3 linked regions of the Alligator mississippiensis genome follow. The protein of the gene in region 2 interacts with the protein of the main gene of each other region in a biochemical or structural test. Links are inferred from orthologs where the notes say so. Each region holds a gene or a part of one and is shown on either strand. Other genes may lie near its edges. The genes, in order: HMGA1, PRKCA and MGMT.

What was found.
Region 1: of the proteins of PRKCA (region 2) and HMGA1, one has a biochemical effect on the other in vitro, tested with the Homo sapiens proteins (2 studies listed by BioGRID). The link is inferred for Alligator mississippiensis from reciprocal best matches to the Homo sapiens genes PRKCA and HMGA1.
Region 3: of the proteins of PRKCA (region 2) and MGMT, one has a biochemical effect on the other in vitro, tested with the Homo sapiens proteins (2 studies listed by BioGRID). The link is inferred for Alligator mississippiensis from reciprocal best matches to the Homo sapiens genes PRKCA and MGMT.

What each region holds. Positions count from the first base shown.
Region 1 is NC_081837.1:37,338,214-37,346,186, forward strand, and holds the start of HMGA1 (high mobility group protein HMG-I/HMG-Y), read right to left. Parts: upstream 3,066-7,973; coding exon 2,964-3,065; exon of another isoform or gene 2,578-2,963; intron 2,383-2,577; exon of another isoform or gene 1,236-2,382; intron 285-1,235; coding exon 162-284; intron 1-161. UniProt on the Homo sapiens protein: HMG-I/Y bind preferentially to the minor groove of A+T rich regions in double-stranded DNA. It is suggested that these proteins could function in nucleosome phasing and in the 3'-end processing of mRNA transcripts.
Region 2 is NC_081831.1:5,228,822-5,236,834, reverse strand, and holds the start of PRKCA (protein kinase C alpha type), read right to left. Parts: upstream 3,020-8,013; 5' UTR 2,752-3,019; coding exon 2,594-2,751; intron 1-2,593. UniProt on the Homo sapiens protein: Calcium-activated, phospholipid- and diacylglycerol (DAG)-dependent serine/threonine-protein kinase that is involved in positive and negative regulation of cell proliferation, apoptosis, differentiation, migration and adhesion, tumorigenesis, cardiac hypertrophy, angiogenesis, platelet function and inflammation, by directly phosphorylating targets such as RAF1, BCL2, CSPG4, TNNT2/CTNT, or activating signaling cascade involving MAPK1/3 (ERK1/2) and RAP1GAP.
Region 3 is NC_081829.1:78,338,363-78,345,304, reverse strand, and holds the start of MGMT (methylated-DNA--protein-cysteine methyltransferase), read left to right. Parts: upstream 1-3,919; 5' UTR 3,920-4,019; intron 4,020-6,942. UniProt on the Homo sapiens protein: Involved in the cellular defense against the biological effects of O6-methylguanine (O6-MeG) and O4-methylthymine (O4-MeT) in DNA. Repairs the methylated nucleobase in DNA by stoichiometrically transferring the methyl group to a cysteine residue in the enzyme.

The sequences.
Region 1 (7,973 bases), on a different chromosome or scaffold from region 2:
ATTGCCAGCCTCCTCGGGAGGAGGGCATTTTGGTACCCAGACACCAGCAGGCCCCAGGTTGCCAAGGAGCAGCATCAATAAGCAACCATGGCAACTTGGAGGCAGCAAATGGGGAAAGGTCATGCGATTCCCTCTTCCCTTCTTCCCCCACAGGTACCTACCCTGCTTTTGGCAGTGGCCTTGTTTTTGCTCCCCTTTGGTCTGCCACGTGGTCTCTTGGGGGTCGGGGCCTCGCTGGGTTCCTGCTGAAGAGAAAGGGCAAGGCTGTCAGCGGATGCCCGGATCTATGGTGATAAGCAAAGAGAAGAGAGACAGGAGTGAGCAAAGCCAAGCTGCAAAGCAGAGCAAGATCCCAGCTCCCTGCGCTCCCCACCCAAAAGCAGCTGTCCCGGAAATGGGGGGTTCCCAGCAAGACGCAGCAGGCGGGCCCTTGGTGACGGAGACTGAAGAGCATAGCCTCCCCACTCCTTCAGTGTCATTAGAAGTGATGGCAAGCATGCACTCGGGAGAGCCATCCTCCCTGCTCCATCCAAATCCCTTGGGATACTGCAGTCGGAGAGGGAGCTGCTGCAGGGAGGGGCTGGCAGAGTCCAGCCAGCACCTGCAGGGTACTTGCACTGCAGCCGTGCATGCTGGGACATGTAGTTTCAAAGGGCCGGTCCTTAGAATTTAAAGCGGACGGACAGTGAGGCTGGGCCGGTGCTTAGATTAGATGTGTCTGAATGTGAGCCACTCACCTATGGACAGGAAGCACCAGCTGCTGCTTTGGAGTGGGTAGGGGAACGGATCAGATAGGGGCTACCTGAATTGAGGGACCTAACCTGGAGGGGAGTGGAGGGAGGGAAGGAGATCAGCTTGCCCAAAAGAAGCTAAATGCTTCCCCCCCACCCCAGATTTGGAGCAGAAGAAGCAAAGCTCTGGGAATGATCTTGGAGACATCAGAAAACCCTTCCCCTGCAGAAAATGCAATCAATCACCCCAGCTTCAGGGTCAAGAAACCCTAATGCTGGGAGACTCATAAAAATGTTGTGAATTATGCATTCCACTAGGAGATATGAGCATCGCAGCTACAGTTTCTAATACCCCGTCGCTTGCTGTTTATAGCTGCGGCTATTAGAAAACCAGTAATCCAACACCGGCAGCCCTGCCCCCAGCCCTGCAGAGTGATGGCCTCCTTCCACCAATCTGAGCCCTGCCAGGCAAATATTCCTGCCGCCGGAAGAGGAAGGAGGTGGGAGTTGCTGGCTCAGGTTGGTTAAAAGATACCAGGGGTCAGTTTCTGACCTGGGCTGGTTGGTGTAAATCCAGAGCAACTCCACTGACAGAGATAAGAGCTAGGCTCTGAGCTTTCCCATGATACATGCTCTGGGTACGTCAGCTTTCCCATGATACGTGCTTTGGGTCTGTCAGCTTTCCCTTGTTTTGTGCTAAGGGTAATTAAGCTATTGCTACAGCAATAGCACATCAGGGAGATGCCACTTGCCCAGGGCAGGGCTCTGCTACTGGAACAGGTTTCACTTTGGGCCTGGCCACTGATTCACTGCCCAGCCCTCAGCAAGTCTCTTAATAACACCTGCAACATATGGGCTTTATAAAGGAAAGGTGTCAGTCAATCATCCCCGCCTGAACACAAGTGAAGGGGCAGGTAGGATGCTAATTAGCTGCTGCCGTTCCACACAATAGGGAGAAACCCTCTGGGTCCCTTCCCCATATTACAGCTTGAGCGGCCCAAGTGGTTGTTTCAGGGCAGAACAGAGATGAAGTCACAAGCCTGTGCCTCAGGGCTTGTATTTGGGGAATTTAGACCCAGGCAAAATCCCCCTGCTTCAGCAGAACTGGCTGGAGCTTGAGTAGCACCCAGCTGCTTCCATCAGCACTGGTTGCATTTGCTTTTTCAGCAGGGTTAATTGACATGACTACAAGGACCTCACCCACAGAAGCCCTGTCTGCATTATGGCTCCTAGATCAGCTAAGCCAGTGATGGGTTTGGTAGGATTCACTTGATAAATGCTCCTGCTGTAGGGTCTCACAGATTGTGATCAGGGGCAGTGTTTAGCTGGAGCATTTTGAGCCCCTTGGGCCTGGCAGTGAGGACAGAATTAAATGCCTGTAGGACCAAGTAACTGATGAATTCAATACAGTGCTACTGGTCTGGATAGGCTCTTTCTGGGGCAGATGCTGCTGCTATAACAGCTGAGCAGGAGGGAGTGCTTTGGTAGGGAAATTCTGCTAGGCTCTTTCCCTGGGAGAAGTCCTACAGGTCCTTGCTGTCCATGTACAGCAAACAGAGCTGTGGTTTGTATCCATAAGAAGAGCTGAGTGCTGTTCACCTCTGCCAGGCTGAGCCCAACATGTGGGAGTCAGACTGTGACTTTAATACCAGTAAGTGGCTCTGCAACCTAGGCTGTTTCCTCATCCTTGGGGAAGGAGTTGCCTTGTTCCTTGTTTATGCCTTAATGCTTCTTCCCACTGCCTTGCTTTTTCCCCGTGGCCCTGGCAGGCCAAGCAAGGTGTGGAAGGTGCATTGCTCTTTTTGCCCTCTATACTAGTGATTTTTTTTTTTTTCCTTTTTGCTAGGCATGCTGCAGAGACCCCTGAGCTAGCTCTGTATCCACTAGCTTTGCATAGGAAGCAGCATAATTGCAATGTTGTACAAAGGCAGCTCTGCACCTCCTGTTCCAGAACTGTGTGCGATCGCGTGTAAAGCTGCAGCATGATGCTTGTGGGAATGGGTAGGTTAGGGGTCAGCTACTGAGTATGTTAGTGGTACAGCTGGGAAGAGATATGGGGGCCTTGACATCCCAACCCTGTGCCCTACCCTCCAGACCATGCGGAGGGGGTTAAGAAGAGAGGTATTTCCAGGGCTGAACTTAACTCATGAAAATGCCTTTCCTCGCTGTAGATGTCCAGCACCCAGCTCTCCTAGTCTCTAGAGCAGGGTGGAAGGAAAAAATTCTCTGTACCTGCGGCTTCTTCCTGGGCCGGCCCCGTCCTCTCTTCTCGGAGACATCCTTCTCCTGTTTTGAAGCCAGGGGTTGGCTGGATTTTGCACTGGATTCACTCATTTTTCTATCTTCTGGGTCATGCAAGAGAGAAGACAGGAGGGTGAGTCAGCCGCATTTTCTATGTGACATGGATATAATGCTTTCTCTGTGACCTGGGCTGTGTAGGTGACTCTCATCCCTGCTTCACTGATGGGAGGGAGCTGAAGCCCAAGGAAGGCAAGAGTGAGTCATAGAGGGTCCTACGCCCAGTTGGTGAATGAGTGTTGAATAGGATTGTCATAGTTCAGCTCCTTCCCTCAGCCCTGTGTCACCCTGTCCTGGTTGTCCCCTCTAGCCTGCCCATGCTGGACAGTGTTATCCAGGCCCCTCCAGTGGCTATGACCTCCTGGGAGGGGGCTGCTCAAGTGTCCCCTCCTTTGTACGTTCAGTTTGCACCCCTTTTCCCCCACTGTTGCATTGCCTTATGGAGCAGTTACACTTGGAGCAGTAGGACAAGGTCTGGGGTTTCCTTCAGACTGTGAAGGCTTTTGGTCTCCTCTTTTTGTCTGATGTGCTAATGAGAGGGGAGAGCAAGTCATCACCAGGGATCCTGGTTTTCTCTGATAAAAAAAATTGCAGATTCTCTGACTTAAAAAAATTGTAAACTCCGTTATTAAAATTAAAGGCCTGCTGGGGGGACAGGTGCCAGGGCTATGGAGCCAGGGCCCCAGCCCCGTGCAGAAGGCAATGGCTGCTGCAGCAGGAGCCGGCTCCCCCACTGCTGCTGTGGGCTGGCTCCGGCGCAGTCCCGGGTGTCAAGGGGGGGCCGTGCCCTCCAGATCTGTGTGCAGGGGGGTAGGGGGCAGGCGGGTGCACGCTGCAGACTTGTGCTTCCCACCCTGCTGCCCTCCCCTGCAACCTTCGCAGCGCAGTGTGTGCAACCTGGTGCGGCACGGCACAGCGGGGAGGCGCACGAAAGCTGCCTGCTGCTGCGAGCTCCGCGCTGCCTGGGTCGCACCTCCCCTGCGTGCACAAGGGGAAGTAGCACACGGTTGTGCCCCTCACCGCTGCTCCTGCGCACACAGGGGAGGTGTGGCCCAGGCAGCGCAGAGCTCGCAGCAGCAGGCAGCTTTCGTGCACCTCCCTGCTGTGCCCTGCCGTCCAGGGTCACACACGCTGCACTGCAGAGGTTGGGGGGGAGGGCAGCGTGCACCCGCTCTGCCCCTTGCACACAGATCTGGGGGGCATGGGTCCCCCCTTTCTGGGGCCATGTGGCATGGGTGGGTGCTCCATGGGGGGCTTCCCCCAACACCTCCTTGCTCCTGCAGCCACACACCAATGCCCTGCCCTGCTGGCTCTTCCCCCAGCCCTGGCAGTCACCCCCACCCACCACCTAGGGCCCCTGCCAGGGGCAGCCCCCAGCCCTACTTACTTCCCAGGCTCCAGGAAGGGGAAGTGAGCCTGATCCAAGCCTGGGGGGAGTGATAGCCTCAGGCCCTGCCCCCCTCCTTCCCTCCTCCTCCAGGCAGGCCTGGGGCTTTCCCGCTCTTTTTGCAAATAGCCTGCAGGCTGCAACTCTGCTTGCCTGCAGAGCTCTTTGCAAAAGCAGGGAATCCGCAGGTTTCTCTGCTAAAAGAGGAACATCCATTTTTTTTCCCCCTGCTAAAATCAGGAAATCCATCCATGGTTTTCTCTGTTTTCCCGTGGGAAATGCAAAACCCGGATCCCTGGTGATGCACAGGATTGTCATGGTCCAGCTCCTTTTCCCCCAGCTCTGCGTCGACCTGTCCTAGTTGTCCCCTCTCGCCCGCCCGCGCTGGACAGCATGATCCAGGCCCCTCCAATCGGTGTGATCTCCTGGGAGGGAGCTTCTTGGTGTCCACTCCCAGCTTTCACCCCGTTTCCTCCACTGTTGCATTGCATTATGAAGTGGTTGCATTTGGAGCAGCAGTGCAAGGAGCTTTGGGGTTTCCTCCACACTTAAGGCTTTTGATCTCTTGTTGTCTGATGTGCTAATGAGAGGAGAGAGCAGCTCACCACGGTCACACAGGAATGGGGGGCTGGAAGGGATTGGAGTTCATCCCCTGTGTCCGTGGGCACCCACCTTATTAAAGCCTTTTCCTGAGCTGATGGAGCTGCTGCCCCTGAAAGAGAGCTGTGTCTTGCCCTAGATACTCCTACAGCTGCTCCACAGCCTCAACCGTTGGGTGCTCAGAAACCTCCTCCTAACTTTGCAGCCTATATTTGCTCCTAGTTGATTTGCACCCGTGATGGAGTCAGCGTAGTGGCTGTCCTCTTGTCTGGACCCCACTGAGCTCCAGTCTGAGCTGGAGCCCTGTGAAGCACACCTGGCTCTTATCCCAAATCTCAGTTTTCAGAAGTGGCCTCCGACTCCATGCATTTTGAGGTCGAGCCTCTGGGGGAATTGGGCTCTTTTTTTTCTAACCGAGTCCGCATAGATGCTCTGAAGTACCCAGTAATAGAGGGTGTTTTTGAAAACCTGGCTGCAGCGGGGTACCACGTTGCCTAGCTGAGGAGGGCTCAGGTGTGGTGAAGCGGTGTTGGGAGCATGTGGTCTCCCAACTGGGAGATGGGGGAATATGTGATTTAATGTACTGTCCAGTGCTTTGGGCTGAGGGCGGTTTTGTGCAGCTCTGGTGAAGGGAGGGAAGGATGCAACTGCACCACGTGGAGCTCTAAGCGTATGTGCCATGGAGAACAATCTTGCTGTGGCAGGTAGGACTGTAAAGGGCATCTTTATCTACCAGGCCTATCTTCTGGGGGGGACCCTGCTCCACGTGTCGACCCACGTGTTGGGCGGTGCATCCTTTCCTGTCTCGGCCATGCTTTCTCTGCATTGCTTCTGTGCTGCGGTCCCATTGCTTTATAATACTCGTATTGCTGAGATCAGGGCCCTGCTCTGCTAGGTGCTGTACAAAAGCCACAGGAAGTGAGTTCATCCCCCGCAGAGGGCAGTCGACAGGACAAGCCAAGTAGTTTTAACCAAGCCGCTCTACTGCTGGGCAAGCAGAGGCACAGATGGAAGAGGTGACGCGTCCAAGGGTATGCAGAGAGCCCAGAAGGGGCCTTAACCTCAAGGCCAACTTCTCACTCTGCTTGCACGACTCCCAGTAAAACCCCACCCAGCTACAGTGATAATATTTTCTGGTTCAACTACCTCTGTTACCCCAAATCTCTGCACCCTGTGGACTGTCCACAGCTGGATCTTCAATGTGTGGACAGCAAACTGCACCCTGCAGTAGCCTTTCCTATTTTTTCAGTGGATTCTGCCAGAAGCTAGGAAGAGAGAGGGGTCTAACAGGAACAGGCCACGCCTGTCGAGTAAAAACCTGCCTGTCCTAATCCTGCAGCCAGTGAGGCCTCCTGTTCCTAAAATCCTACTCTGCCCCCAGCTTTTCTCAGCTGACTGAAAAATGCCACTTTGCCGCAGCTCGCGCACAATTCCCGGTGCCCTCTCCAAGGATGGTCATCGTGGACCTGGTCAGAGCAAGGCTCCACCAAGAAGCTGCTTTCTATCCCCCTGGCACCAGGTAGGAGTTTGCAGGACAGCGGGGAGCTGACACCAGATTGCCGGATTTGTGGCCTGCTGTTATCACCGTTATTTCACACGACCGAAGCCAGCAGTGACTCCAGCGCCAACCAAGAGCAAGATCGGGCCCGCTATGCCCACGTCTTAAAACTTCTTTTCATCTCGTTGAGGTGCCAGCTGATGGGGCCAAAGAAGCTCAGGCAGTCCATAACTTTGACCATCCCATGCACCTTTGGTTTGACCCATGGCCTTGATTTCACAAAGATGCCCAGCAGGCCCTCTGTGCGCCAGAAGTTGGAAGCTTTAATGTACTATCACGCATACGTTTTTATAGATTAAGCCAAAAAGAGGCCAGCTATTTAGCTTAGTGATTCTCAACCGGGGTGCAGTAGCTCTCTGAGGTGCCTTGGGATCCTTTCAAGAGTGCTTTGGGGTGGGCAAACGTGGTAGAGCAGATATGCCCAGAGACCTCAAGCAGGGATGCTTAAGTGTTTAAAACCGCTCTGCTCTGTTGTGGTCTCCCTGAGTCCTTTGCAAACAGAAGACTAGTCTCTTTCTGTATTGAAAAAGGGTTTCCTGAGGGGGTCCTGTCTCATGGGGTTGAGAACTGACCTTCTGCCTAACATGGGCTGTTGGACTGCATCCAGGCATGCCTGCATTCAGCCCAGAGCTAGACCAGAGGATGGTTTATGTCAGAGTATCATCAACGACCCCAAACCAGCAGGGCATGCATCCATGCATGAACACACACAGACATGCCAAAGGGCTGCTGTCTTGCCCCACTTCCCAGCAGCTGCAGAAACAGAAAGGGGGCTTGGACCCTACTGCTCACTCCTTAAGACTGAGGCTGCCCAACTAATAACCGCTGTCAGGCATCTTTCGTGCCACAGCCTCCAACCCAACAGCTCAGTCACTGAAGAAACAGTGTTTAAAACCATTGTAGCCCCCCCCCCCCCCTCCTCCATACTGGCCTGGGACTCAATCCGGCAAGCCCTTACATTGAGATGTGTGCAGAATCAAATCCCCAAGCTCAACCTCGGAGGTTAAAGGCTCAATGTTCCTCCCCCTTATTGCTCACAAGGTTTAAAATGCCAGCTCTTTCAGAAGGTAAGTTGTTTGCCATCAGCATTTGGAATAATCCCACCTCCTAGTTGGCAGATACCAGAACAGGTCCAATTCAGGAAGCATCAGCAAGCAGCTGGGAAATGAAACCTGTGAGCAGTGAAAGGCAGATCTCACCAAAACAACGAGCCCCTTCAGCCCCCAGACAAGACTGTCAAAATAAATCTGTTCCCAAACAGTTTTTTAGCCTCAGCTACAGCTGATTGCTTGCAAAAAGTCTCCTCCAAAGGGGTGGTCTATCTGGAAAAGCTATTAGGAATAATGTAGGGTGTGAGTTTCAAGTTGAATAAACACTCCAGGTCAAGATGAAAAGGTCT
Region 2 (8,013 bases):
TCTTTTGTTGTACTATGTACATGCTTAAGTACATATGTACAAGTATGTATAAATACATAATGTTTTACAGTCAAGGCAAAACACTACCTTGATTCTTCATGTTGGATTTTGACATTAATTGCTCTCTGCCAACACAAATAAATGTTTCAAGTTTCTCATTTATGAGAGTTTACAAGTATTCTGTTTTTTTCAAAACATTTTCCATTTGTCACGTAGCTGAGAGGGATCATGGTGAGAGAGAGAGAGAACTCATCAAAACCAAAGACCAACATACAGCAAAAGATGGTAAGCTGCATAGGCCTCTTTAGCCACAATAAGGAGGATGTTCAGTTGTAAAAAATTACAGCTAAAAAAATAACAACATTTTCTTCATACCTAAATGTTAAATTGATTTTGAGAAGTTAATAATTTAAAACTCCATGTAACCTTTCATAAAAAGTTATTTCAAACTGAATAGTGAACTGAGTGTTGATCTTACAGAGACACTCACTTTACAAAAGCCATCCCACTGCTACCTGAATGCGTTTACCTACCGCTGTTACATGAGATGTCTAGGATTAAGGAATTCAAACAGGATGATAACTTTATTTGTTTTTGTCTACTTTGCCTGTATTTTGTGTACAGGTAATTTCCCTGTTTGGGTAAATCACTCTACAAGACGGAAGTGAAAGTTATCTTTTAACAATATACAAATAAAAAACCAAAAACTGACTAATAGGACTAAGAACCTGAAACTATCTTTAGCTTCTTTTTTTTCCTTTTTTTTTTTCTTAAGTGACTATTTCTACACAACTGTGATCAGATACTCTGATCTTCCTTAGGGTTTGGGCTGAAAGGTGATGGCTCATAGTTCAGTCAGTTTTATGCAGTCGAAAGTATACATGTTCTTTTTTAACTTTGAGTTTCACATGCACACAAGAAAACTGTTTGTTAGAAAAAAATTCCATCAATTTGCAACTCTAAAAAAAACAATTGGTTACTTGGCTGGATTCTTAAGTGGCAAATTAGAAAAGAAAAAAAAAAAAGGATAAGGACATTATTCCATTAAAAAAATGATAATGATTGTACTTGACACACTCAAATTATCTGAAATAGTCATCAACTCCATTTTAATCTCTGCTGTTCTTTAGGAAATAGTTCTGTGAAAGCTCATTCAACAGTCAGGTGTGCCCTCAAATACTTCTGCGTGTACCCTGTGACCGAGCCAGCCTCACGGGTGGGCGACGCAGGCAACTGCGCAGGGTGCCCGGTCAGGGGAGCGCCACCCTGCCCGCCCATCCCTGCCTCCAGCAGCTGCTCAGGAGGAGCTCGGCATGGGCTGGGGGCTGTGAAGCTGGAAGCCCTTTCCCCAGCCAGGTCCTTGAGGCACCACCATGGGCAGGGGCAGTGGTGTGGCTCATTTGCCCCCTGCCCATGGGATGCCATGGCCCGGAGGACGGGAACGAGCCAGTGCAGCCCGTCCCTTGCCCATGCCGAAGAGCAAGGCCCTGGGCACCCCCTTCCCCGAGGCCGTGCAGTAGTTTTGTGTGCCTTCACGTATTTCTGCATATGCCACATTCGCTGTGCTGCGTGCGTTAAAGTATCAATACTTCACCTCACTTTAAATCAGCCAAAAAACAAGTGTACCGATACTGTTGCATGCTGCGTTAAAAATATTTAAGAGCTTCCTTGGTTTCCTAGCGGGGACTGACAAGTCAACAGAGTACAATTACGCTTGCCACCTGCCAGTGACAGGATATCCTTCCACTACCAAATGCATCCTGTAATCAGGTACCTTTTATCATGACAGCGTTTAAGAAACAAAAAGAGAGAGAGAGAGAGAGAGAGACCTGCATTATTTATCTGTACAAACACAGGCGACAATAATCTTGTAGCGTTTCTTTCACACCTGCCAACTCTTTTTGGATTAATTTTAAAGCAGGTTTGCGGGGTTGGATTTTGGGGGGGGGGTTTAATTCCCTTACTTTGATTCAATTTAGTTTTGCAATTGAGCGGTCACAGATTGACAAGCCAGATCTTTTTTTTTTTTTCCTTTTTCTACCTCGCTCTGCAGTGCGTTTCAGCAGTTTCTCCCTGACCCTAGGTCTTCGGTTGGACGCCTTCCCCCTCCCACACGTCTTTTGTGCGTGCTAGCGGGCTCAAAGCGGGTCTTTCCCTCGGAGCACGGGTTACAGCAAAGAGGGAAAGGAAAGACCGTGGAGTAGGCCGTGCGGAGGGAAGCAGCCTCCCCTGAGAGGAGGCAGGTCGCTCTCCCCGAACAAAAAGGACGTGAGCGGGGCACACCGCTTCCCAGAAGTGTGTACACAGCAAGCCAGTCTTTCTCCCTCAGCAAATAAGTTGAGTTTTTCTTCCCTTTCTGTTGTGGACACGAACTTGTGCTACACAGGTGTGCACACCCACTCGCCCCACGGGATGCCAAGGAGTGTGGCTTGCACGCTCGCCCCACTCTGGGCGAGGGAGCAGGGCTTGCACACCCAGCCCCTGCTCTGTGGGAAGGGCGTCCCTCCGCCGCCCGCTCCCAGCAGCTGCGGGCGAACTTTTTACCCCCGCCCTCCCTCCCTCCCTCCGCGGGCGGCGGCGGCGTGTCTCTCACCAGATGAAGTCGGTGCAGTGGCTGCAGAAGGTGGGCTGCTTGAAGAAGCGCGCGGTGAACTTGTGCTCCTTCACCTCGTGCACGTTCTTCTGGCGCAGGGCGCCCTTGCGGGCGAAGCGCGGCGCCGCCGGGTCCGCGCCCGCGAACACGTCGGCCATCGCCGCCCCGCACCGCCGCACAGCACCGCGCCGCACCGCCGCCGCCGCCGCCCTCCCGCAGCGCAGCGCTGCGCTCGGCTGGGCGCTGCCTTCCCTTCCCTTCCCTTCCCTTCCCTCCGCGCCGCGCCGAGCCGCGCCGAGCCGCTCGCTAGCTCCACCGCCTCCCGGGAGGAGCCGCGGGATCCCCGCCCCGCCCGGCACGGCACGGCCCGGCCCGGCACGGCACGGCACGGCACAGCCCAACGGGGCGGGCACCTGCCGCCGCTCGTCACTCGCCCCGCCCCGCGCACTCACACACACACACACACACACACACACACACACCCCCCTCAGCCGCCGCCTGTGCACAGCGCACCCGCACTGCCCCTGCACACACACGCTCTACCCCTGACAAGCATTTGCACAGCCCCCCTACACACCCACACCGCCCCTGCACACCCACACACGCACAGCGCCAGGGGCATGCGCAGCCCCGTAGCCACACACACACACACACCCTCTCCTGGGGGCACGTGCAGCTGCACGCCTGCACCACCCCAACATGCACACACACACAGGGCTTGGGGACACACACAGCCCCTCAGCCACCGCCTGTGCACAGCACGCCCGCACGCCCCTGCTACACACACCCGCACCACCCCTACACACACACACCCACATCACCCCCGCTACACACACCCGCACTGCCCCTGCTACACACACCCACACCACCCCTACACACACACACCCACATCACCCCCGCTACACACACCCGCACTGCCCCTGCTACACACACCCGCACCACCCCTACACACACACACCCACATCACCCCCGCTACACACACCCGCACTGCCCCCACTACACACCCACATTGACCACTTACACACACCCACACCCCCTACATACACCCACACCGCTCCCGCTACACACACCCACATTGACCACTTACACACGTCCACACCGCCCCTACACACAGCCACACCACCCCCACTACACACAGCCACACTGACCACTTACACACGTCCACACCGCCCCTACACACACACCCCCCTACATACCCACACCACCCCTACACACACCCACATTGACCACTTACACACACCCACACCACCCCCTGCTACACACACCCACACTGACCACTTACACACATCCACACCGCCCCTACACACACACACACCGCCTGGGGGGGCACACACAACCCCTTTAGCCACTGCCTGAGTACAGCACACCCTGCATGCGCCCCTTCCCCCCCCCCACACACACACAGTGTTTGGGGACACACACAACTCATTGCAGGACACCCACAGCCCCCCTCAGTCAATGCCTGTGTACAGTACACCCCGCACTGCCTCCCCCACACCCACACACACATACACAGCACCTGGGGGCACACACAACTCACTGTGCGACACCTGCAACCCCACTCAGCCACTGCCTGTGTACAGCACATCCTGCACCACCCCCTACACACACACACACACACACACACACACAGCACCCAGGGACACATGCAACACCCTCAGCCACCATCTGTGCACAACTCACCCACACCACCCCCTTACATACACCCACACTGACACCCTGCTTACCCCCACTGCCCCCCTACACACACACAGCACTTGGGGACACGCACAGCCCCCTCAGCCACTGCCTGGGTACAGCACCTCACCCCCCCCCACACACACACACACACACACACAGTGCCTGGGGGCATGCACAACTCGCTGTGGGACACCTGCCACCCCTCTCAGCACTGCCTGTGCACAGCACATCCTGCACCGTCCACCCCCTACACACACACACACCCTACACACACACACAGAGCACTTGAGGGCACGCACAACTCCCCATCAGGCACCGGCAGCTGCAGGCCACCATGGGCACATAATCCTTCCCTAGTATGGTCCCTGCCACACCTGAGGTGTGTGACACAGTTAACCAGTGAATCCCACAATAAATGTAGAGGGGCATAATTATGACACAATGATAACGAGTTTGCGACTATAAAGAGTCAACCCGCTACAGAGTTAATTCTTGAAGTGTGTGACAACTCCAGAGCTGGTTTCTACCCAGTTTGAATTTGAATGTGGAGCAGGGCCCTACGGGACAGACCAGGCCACCCCCTGGCATCTACAGCCCCAGCTACCACAGCTGGGACCCGCACTGGCTGCCTATCGCCCCAAGAGAGTCAGCCCATACACAGCTAAATTCACTGCTTCTTCCCTCCCTCCACACCCCCGCCCCCAATGTAATTGTTCTGCATTTACAGATTATTATCCCCCTTCTGTACTTACAACACAATTAGAATCCTATCTTAATACTTTCTGGCTTTGTAGCATTTGTATTTTTGAGGAAAATTGCAACATCCTCTTATAATGGGTTTGTTTGCTGCTTTTGCTTTGGGTTTATTAAAGTCGTTGAAAGGTTCTTTCGCCCCCTCCCCTCCGGTATAGCTCCAGTACAGCTTTTGTTTAGGAATGTCTTCACATATTCAAATGTATTTAAAAATTACTCAGTGAGAGGAGTTGCTATCCTATGGCCTGTGGGTTGGATTTGGCCTGCAAAGAGGTCCAGTCTGACACTGGGGATTTTATTTGGCCACCTATTACCCCTGTAGCGTTCACTCCTCTGTTGACCCTTCTGCTTCTCTCATTGCAGAGGCAGGTGGGGATCAGAGGAGAGGGTAAATGCAGAAGGCTGGCTGCTCCAAGGGGCAAAGACTTGTGGCCTGTCATAGGGGCTGGGTCACAAAGGGCAGCTAGACCCACAGGTTCCCATCTGGCTTTCCTGCCTCTGTACGTGATGGTCCTTTTCCTCATGCTCCTTCACTGAATGTGCAATTTGCATTTGGTACATTCATAATTCCCATAAAGATCATGGCTGCACCCAGACGGGCACGGCCATGTGGTCGATGTGGTGCTGCAGGCACCAAGTACGGCACGTTCAGATGTTCTCAGCGCTGCTGCAAGGTAGCAGCACAGGGGGTGCAAGAAAAAGTGGGGTGGCACATGCAAGGACAGCACATGCCACCTGAAACTGGAGCCTGGCTGGCTAGAGCCACACTCCACTGCCAGCCAGGCTCTGAGCACCAGAATCGCTGCTTCTGCAGCCCCAGGAGGCCCCTAGGATCCCAGGTATGGCTGCTGGGGCCAGCCCAGAGCATAGGTGTCCCCCAGTCTCTCCTGCATAGGTGTTCCCCAGGGGCAACTAGCAGTGGCACAAGGTGTGCTGCTGCTGCTTGTCCCCGGGGAAACAAACGTCCATGGCCACGTGGATGCGGAAACAAACATTACATACAGTTTGTATTTTATTCTGAAAGTTGTTTCCTCCTGTTGTTTCAGTTATCTCATTCCATGAGAAATGAATTGTTTTCAGACATTCATCCAGAACGAAGGGTGATTTCAAGGAGAATTCACCTAAGTCCCAGAATAACACCACCCTCTCCCTTAGCTCTGCCCATCCTCTTGAAGGCTCCAAAACGATGTCCTGTAAAAAAAAAAAAGAAAGAATTTACCAATTACAAATGATATCAACTGAACTATCCGGATACTTTCCTATCACAACCCAAACTGATTTTAATTCTATCCAACCTCTTTGGGCAGGAAGAGGGAAATTCCAGTTTCCTTGCAACTGTTCAGGACAGACCATTTTCAACGAACCCCATGGAATTAAGCAATTTTTTTCTGTGAAATTGCCTGGTTGTCACAGCCTGCACATTTTTTATACTGGAGCAACCACGTCTGTCACAATCCTTCCAGTCTCAAATTCCACAACTAAATTTGCAGCGGCTTAGAGTAGCCAGGCTGAAATGTTGACCCTCTGATACAACGGTTCTCAGATGTTTTGAGCTGAGCCCCGCTTTGAATTACAATTTTGCTTGCACCCTTCCCCCTCCTCCCCCCCTTTACCCCAGAGGAGCAGCGCAGCCAGGCACAGAGCGCCCCTCATCCTAGTAGCCGTCGCAGCTCAGCACGGCTCGGCGGGGCAGGTTCCACCCACCGTGGCTCCGGCACCTCCTGCCCTTGGCCCTGCTGCAGCTCTAGGCTGTGAGCCTGCCATGCCAGGCTCCCAGAGGCACAACTGCGTGCTGGTAGAGCCTGCCTGGAGCTCCCCATCCCCGTACCCCGCCGCGAGGCTGCAGCAGCACCAACTCCTTGCAAACTTCTTGTCTGTGTCCCCGTAACATTCCTTCACCCCCCAAGGAGGGTTGTGTGTGCCCCACAATTTGAAAACTGCTGCTCTGATACTTCTTCAGATGGTCCTTATGGATAACTTTTGATTTAATCCTGAAACCTGATATACCACTTCATTTTTTGGATGGATATTTTATCAGACATCTTCCAAAGTTTATCCCTCTTAGGACTCATACCCTTCTTTCTGTTATGGTTCTTATTTGGGAAAGGTGTGACCTTTTCAGTTTGGGATTGTCAAGTTTCCACATAGTCCATATTGTGATGAGCAAGTTTGATTTTACCCTAAAATTAAAATAGTTTTCTGTAGCATACTGTTAAGTTAACAATAATTTAAATTATTAAATAGTATTAGCTTTGTAGCTAAACACAAGGCATGACCTGTGGCCTAGCAATGTTGCTAACCACAAGACAAAATGATAGCTAAGCCAGCCATTTTCTTATGTCAAGTGCCTTAACCATTTTGTTAGAAAAAAGCAGAAATTAAGTCTGTGTACTGAGTACCAGCTGCAGCTAGGAGTGAAATAAGATAAGGGGGGCCCAGAGGGAAGAAGATGGTACAGTGGAGTACAGGAAAACAGATTAGAATGTGTAAGATAACACTAACTTTTTTCTTTTGGAAAAGTACTAAGATTTGTAATGCACCATGTAAGGAGATAATTACCATAAGTATTGCATATTCAATAACCTTGTAGTTTTCTTTATTAGAAAATGTATAAAAAACAGCCCCACCCTTAAGTCAGGGCCATTTTGCCTCTTTGCTGGTTTATAGTCTTTACTCGAGTAAATAAACTGCAGTTAACCCTTCACCCGCGTTATCTGGTCCCTATGCCAGCTAAACAACGGACACTAGGGAGTTTTCTCCCACGACAGTATAGTCTGATTTGGCATCTGGACCATTCATCAGGCGATGAGCGTGCTGGATCTTTTGGATCCTTAGAATCTGCCATCTGAAACACTTGGGATTCAAGTTTCTCTCCCTGATCTGTAAGTCACCTGGGCTCCAAATTAATGACATATTTTATAGACACCATCTTGGTTCCTTATTGGGTAAACGTCAGGCAGTTTTATACAATAATCTATATATTGACT
Region 3 (6,942 bases), on a different chromosome or scaffold from region 2:
TGTTCTGGGGTTCTCAGCTCTGCTGCAGTGTGGGGGTAGGTAGATTTGAGTCTTCCCCTTCTCCTCCTCCCCCCACCCCCCAAGGTGAAGGACTCCAATCCACCTGTCTCACTCTAGCAGGGCTGAGAAAAACCCAGAAGGGACCTCCCTCCCCCACCTTCTCACAATCCCATTCAGAGACAGCAGCTTGGCTGGGCTGCTGTTGCAGCTGGAGCAGACAAATTAATGAAGTTGGTCTGCTTAGGAATATCTTCATTTGAACCCTCATACAATGAGGGTTAATTTTTTGTACCATCAGCAGGCTCTGCAGCTATGCTTTTCTGTTTGGGTGCAGCTTTAGAGCACTTTCAAGGGACCTATCGTGGGATGCACGTAATTTCTGTCTGCACCCCAAGTGACTATTAACAGTTTACCGTGGTCAATGCTATTAAGAGTTCTTTCCCAGTTTCAATCAGGGTAAACTTAATAGCTAGGGCAGCTAGTGTAGCTGCTAGTCCCTACCACTCCTTTGTCCGCTTGGTAGACCTCTTAGGGAAGGGTGCTAACAGAGGGACTCCCTGCTCTATCATAGAGCAAATTGAAATGGAGCTCTACTACTTAGCCCACACTGGGAAGGGAGACTCATGCACGGATCTTCCCTGGGCCTCTACCACCTATGACAGCTTAAGTGCTGGGTGAGGACCCATGCCAGAGGTCACCAGTGTTCCCTGCTCCTGTTCTGCTAGGGGTTGCCACTTCTCTTCAAGTAACTTAGCTACCCCAGCTCTTCTAGACCCTGAACTACACAGTAGCAGGCTCAAGGATTTCAGCTCTTTTAGAAAAACTAGGGGGTAACAGGTCCCAACCTGTAGCATTTAGGTACTTGTAGCCAGAGGTACTTCTGATTTTAAGGTTTGATAATAGACCATGGCCCAAGACCAGAAGCTGCCAGGTTTAATGCAACCTCCCATCTGAAGCCTCAGGGCTTTCTGATATTCCAAACCCATTTCACCAAAATAGTGCTCGCATGAATGAAGCTCTTTTAATCTTATTTAACTATTTATATTAGTTCTTATTCAACCTGGAGACCACTTAAGCCTTTTTTTTAAACTTGATTTGTTTGCAAATGGCAGCTAACAGCAGAAATTAGTTTGGATATCTGGACCTTTTGACCTGTGGATTAATGTAGCGATGATTCTTCAACCAAAATGTAACTATGCTCTCCCTCTTAAGGGGGACAGAAAACAAAACATGCCTATGGCAAATATTTTCATTCAAGACTTTTTATTCACAACCCGGGGGGTTAAAAGCAGACAAAGTCAGGACCAGACAAGGCCCAAAATAGAGCCAAGAAGTCTGAGAGAGACAAGGACAAAGGCAGGCAAACTATTAGCAGGGGAGGGGGCAGGAGTCAGGAATAGAAAAGCAAGGATTCAGATCAGCCTCACTAGCCAGGGGGTCCCAAGCAGGCAGTTGTAGCTAAAAGGGACCAGGACATTGGTGACTACCAAACTAACACTATAAGACAAGAGCCAGCTGTCAGAAGACAGGGGAGTTTAGACTAGAGTTGGGAACAAGGAGAGGTCATGAAGCAGCAAGTCTGAAAAAAAGGAGTCCCGGTTAGAGCCATGAGATCCAAGACCTGGACTCAAGTCAGGAACAAGAGCAGGATCCAAAATGGGAACAAAAAATGAGGAACTAGATTCTAACAAGTGAAGAACCAGGGAACTAGAAGCTGAAAGCTCAGGCTAGACACAGACTTTTCTGTCCTGCTGAATAGCTGCTCTGACACTGGAATTGGGCATGGGTGGGAAGGGTGTTCATGGAGACCCCAGCAGCAGCCAGGCTCTGAGAGCACGGGGCTGGGGTTTCCATGTGGATCGGCCCCAGCAGTGCTGGCAGGGCATGCAGCAGGGTGCAAAGCTGCTCCAACCAGGCTGGGATCTTGCAGTGGTGATGGCATGGTCCAGAATCACAATCTGCAGCCTGCATACACTGGGCAGGAGCATGCAGGCAGTGGATTACAGCATAGTTCCGAGCCAGGACAAAGTCGTGATCTGCTGCTTGCACGTCCCTGCCTGCGGCATGCAGGCTGCAAATTGTGGCTCTGCCTCACCTCCAGACCATGCTGTCACCACCACAAGACCCCAGCCCAGTCCTGGAGCAGCTCCCTGCCCTGCTGCATGCCCTGCTAGCAGGGGCGGCACTAGGGGGAGCTTGGGTGGGGGCTATAGCCACACCAAAATTCCTAGTCCCTGGCTGGGCGCAGGGATTATTTTGGGCTTGAAGTGGGTTCGGCTTGTTTTTAAAGGCAGTGCCACTATTTTTTCTAGTGAGACTTGGCAACATTGGCACTCAGGTAGTTAGGCCCAGCTGGGGCTAACCATCCTGCCTGCTGTCCTGACTCCTGACACTTTTTTAAGTGGATCGAAAACTGAGGAGCCAAAGAACAAAGAGTTGAGTTAGGCATGGAGTTCAAAAAGTCTGCTTCTCAGAAAATAAGTGCTGGGAATTCCTTGAAGTCAAAACACAAAAGTGATCTGGTTATCTGTTACCAGATTTTAAATCTGATGCCTTTATGGTTACGATGCTCGATCACAAAAGGGAAAGACATTTTTGTCCGGGTCTCCCTCATTAGTCAATTCTTCACTTGTCTGACAGTCTCATGATTACACTCCAGAATCTCCCAAATGTATATAAAGAGCTTTAAAATGAATTCTAATAATTTGGGGTTTTGCTTTTTTGGTAAATTTTAGTAACTCCTCTTCACTGCTCCTCATGGTTTATTAACTCATCTAAGCCTCACCCTACCTTTTTCAGCATCACCAACTCTGCAACTCACTCCATGTCTTCTCTAACACAACTTTCGCTACTCAAACCACTTCCTTTGGCAATTCCCCAGTTATAGACTTCCTCAGCTTGTCTGTGTTCATCCCCGTCTTTACGACTCTACAAATGAAAAAAATGAAGCTGGATCTTCTTGACTGGATCCTACAAAACTCTGATGATCAAAACTGGGCTCTGCCCCAACTTGCTACAGTATCAGCCTTTAAAGTATCAGAAATCTTTAGATGTTAACTTTTAAGGAAATTTTTTCACGTCCAAGTCAAACTAGCCAAATCCATTCCAAATCTGTGACGCGTTCAAGAACCAAACATGGCTCTACAACCGACAAACACCCTCCACACCCACCCGGTGCTTCCAAATCATTAGCTGGGCATCCCGCTTGCAGGCCCGAGCCTGGAAGCTTGCGGTTCAGATGCCCTCGAGTTGGGCTTGCCCTTGGCCACATGGAGCAAGCTAAGGAGCAGTCTCCCATTTCCATCAAGGTGTCACATAGCCCAGATCCTCCCCCACCTGAGCAGGAAGCTTACTACGAGGCTGTCGGAGGGAGTCTTGTTCGCAAGCAGACAAGGCTGCGCCCCTCCATGACCCAGTGCCGTTTTCACTGCATAACCTCGGGCAGGGTCCTTCCCCCGCCATCTTCGTGGCACGGGCATTTCCCCTGCCAGCAATCTCTGGGTATTTTCTTATAACCAGCAGGCGGCCGGGTGCTGGTGGCGCTTCTGCCTGGCACTTGCATAGCCTGCGGCGTGGGCGCAACCAGGGGCAAGAGGCAAACCACATCAGTCTTCCCTGCCTATGCAATGGGAACACTGCCCTGCCCCTCCCTGCCAGGCCCGTGAGGATCACACCGGCTTCCCCCAGGAGCTTGGAGCCAGGCCCAGGCGGGCTTTTCTGCATCAAAGCAACTACCCCCCTCCCCAGGACAACAGCGCCTTCTTTCCTTCCCTTCAGGGCTGTACAACCGCCCGCGGGCACGGCCACATCCCGCGCGCCGCACTGAGCCCGGGCAGGGCCGGCTCCAGCCCCTGCTGCGCCTGCGCGGGCTGCTGGTCCAACCCCGCGCGCAGGCGGAAGCGGGGGGGCTGCCGCGCTCCGCTTCCTCCCGGCGGGGCGGGGCGGGGCGGGGCGGAGCGCGCTGGAGCCCGCCCGGGAGGTCTGAGCCCTCAGCGCCGAGCCGCGACGAGGAGGAGGAGGTGGGGCTGCACCATGACCCATAGTCGTGAACCCAGACGGCCGGTGCCGACCCCTCCGTGTGTGAGGCACAGGGAGGGCCCCAAGCAGCCCCTGGCAGACAGGGTTCCCCACGTTTTTTCTCCTTGAAAACAGGAGCCCTTTTTTTTCAAGTGGGCTGACATCTCCCCATCCCCCCTTTTTTAAAATTAATTTTTATTATTATTTCTTTTTTTTTAAGTTTGCTTGCGACCCGTTAGTATATTCTTGAAAGCGCACCCCTCGCTGCCAGAGGGCATCACTTCTACTCCCCAAGGCCTAAGTGCCGCGCTCCTCGGTGTGCAGAGAAAGGTGCCCCCAAAACATCCGGAGCTGCAGGCTCAGGGCAATTTCCCTGCCCCCAGGCAGCTCCTCCTACAATGGGGGTTGGCAAGGTTTTTGGGCAGTGCCCCAAAACACCTGCAGCCTCTGTTCCTAAGATGCTGGTGTGCCAGGGGCAGGCAGGGGAGGGGCCCGATGCTTGTTGTGGCAGCACAACCCTGGCCCCTTCTCTGCCGTCTGCCCCATGCAAAATGTCACGTACCAGGCTCTGGCACCCGTACCCTGTCTTACAAGATGAGAGCGGCAGTGCCGGCCCCTTTGCAGCCGATTGTATCAGCAGGCATGTGGAGCTGGATCTGCGTGAGGGAGCAGAGTCTTCTTGTAGAGCTCAGTTGTTTTCTGCAGTATCAACTTGATTATTTTTTTCCCTGAGGTGACCTCCCCACCCCCTGCCCAGGGTGTTATTAATGGGACGACGTGGCCTAGGCACAGGCAGCCTCTCCAGAACATACAAGCTGCTCTGTACTGGGTCAGGCCCCAGGTGCATCTTGCCTGTGGCTGAGAGTGGATGCTGTGTGGCATGTGGCAGAGGAGGGAAGGAGCAGGCAGCACTGCAGCAGATAAGTGTAGGAAGCAAAAATCAGAGAAGCAGATCAGGCAGGAAGCAGAGGGGCGGTGCTAGAGTAGCCCTCAAGGGATGTTGTGTGACTAATTTGTGGCATGCTGGCCTGCACCCCTGTAGGATCTAAGATGCTGTGGAGAGACCATATTTTTAGTCTTCTTTCTTGTCATGTCTCCAGGCCATCCTTTCTATATGGTCTGCTCCTAATATTCTGCACAGGCAACTGCTTCTGGTGGTCTTGTTGCCAAATCTTGTGGGATGCATTGTGGTGCTACAGGGCATTTCAGGAGTTGATTCACGGTTTGCTTTTCCTGAGAAACACACTGGCTGGCTGTGTAGAGGCCCAATGATTTCATGAGAAAGTTGTATTTGCTGAGACCCGCTTTTAGTCTGTTCAGGCTCTGCCACATGTGCCATTTGTAGTGGGAGCTGGACGCTAACTCCTTCATTACTGGCTCCATTCAACAGCTTAGTTTCCTAGTTTCTCCCGTTCTTTTTGCCAGAGGGTAGATCTGGCTGGTTCCGATGACGTCATGAATGGTATGGAACAGGACAAAAAGCTATTTCTCGATGAGAGGGGGGTGTGCTGGTTGATGCCCATATAGCAGGTGGCAGTTGTCTGACTTGTACTGCCAGTCAGTGTCATCCGCTGCTTTCCTCCTGGTGTAAGGGGGCACTATGCCAGATAGTGCATATAGGCAGGTTACAGGGGTGAGTTTTATGAAGCCTGTTATAATTCTGCATGTATCATTAAGGGTGGAATCAGTATGTTTACTGTGTTTACATATGTTTTTAGTGTTATCAAGTGACTCCTTAAGGCTTCTACTGAAACAATAAAAGCAAAAGAAAAAGCTAGCCCCTACAAACACCTTGCGTCTATTTCTGTCATACATGTATGTGTCCCCAAAAAGGGAGAGAAAAGGGAGGCACTTGCATTCCAGATCTCTTCATTTGCTGAAACTGGGCTGCAAGACTGAATAATCAAGTACAGTTCCAATGTAAGAGAGAAAGTAAGGAGAATGTAAAATAAAGATTAAGTGGTATATTGCTTCTTGCTTAAAAAAATAAATAAAAGCTCATGGTACAATATGGCGAAATATCACAATTATGTCCAGAAGTTCTAAAAATTGGAAAAAGCAAATATAGATAAAGAAGCTACTTTGCTACTCCAACTGTTCAGGAAGTAAATGACAGTATAGCTATTGCTAATTGTTTAATTATTGATGTTTAATACTTTTATTATCTTAAAAAGTGATTATATGCATTGTTTTAGTTTTTCAGATTTTCAAAGCAGCATATAACTAGCCTTGCTTCAATTTAATGTTTATTATCCTTTTACAAGTAATGAAATGAAGTATAATGTAAATAAGTAACTTTTTCGAGGTAGCACGAGTGCCAAAGTTGACTATTCTTGAGTCTCCATTGTCCATTAAGCAAAAAAAAAAAAAGTGTGTGTGTGGTGGGGAGGGGGGATAAGAGGACTGGAAATGCTGCAGTACGTCACCTGGAATCGTTTATCTTAATAGCAAGGGATAGCCCCATTGTAGAAATGATTAAGGTTTTGGCCTGCAAACCCTTGGAAATCCACTGGGGACTGGAAATCCAGTAGGACTGGCTGCAGAGAGAGTCTTTGCTTCTGAACTGTCTTTGTGGCCTTTGGTCTTCCCTTTTTGCATAGAAATGTAACTTCAGTTGAGCCACAATACACACACTCCAATTGATGCCTTTGTGCATTAAAATTCCATCTTGCTTATTCAGGGGGTGCTACTCAGCTGAGTAAAAATTAACTGTGATATGGAATTTCTATGGAGGGTTGATAAGTTGGAAGTGCTTCTACCAGCCCTGCCTTTCTTTCTGTTTATGAATGCCAGTCCCAAGGCCTCTGGTGGAAATGGTGGAATAAGTGGGCAGAGTTGACATAAATCCACCTGTGCCTCCTGTTCTGCAGAATGAGACCTATAGGGATTTTATGAGGTGGATATGGGACAGTTTAGGTTTGGTTC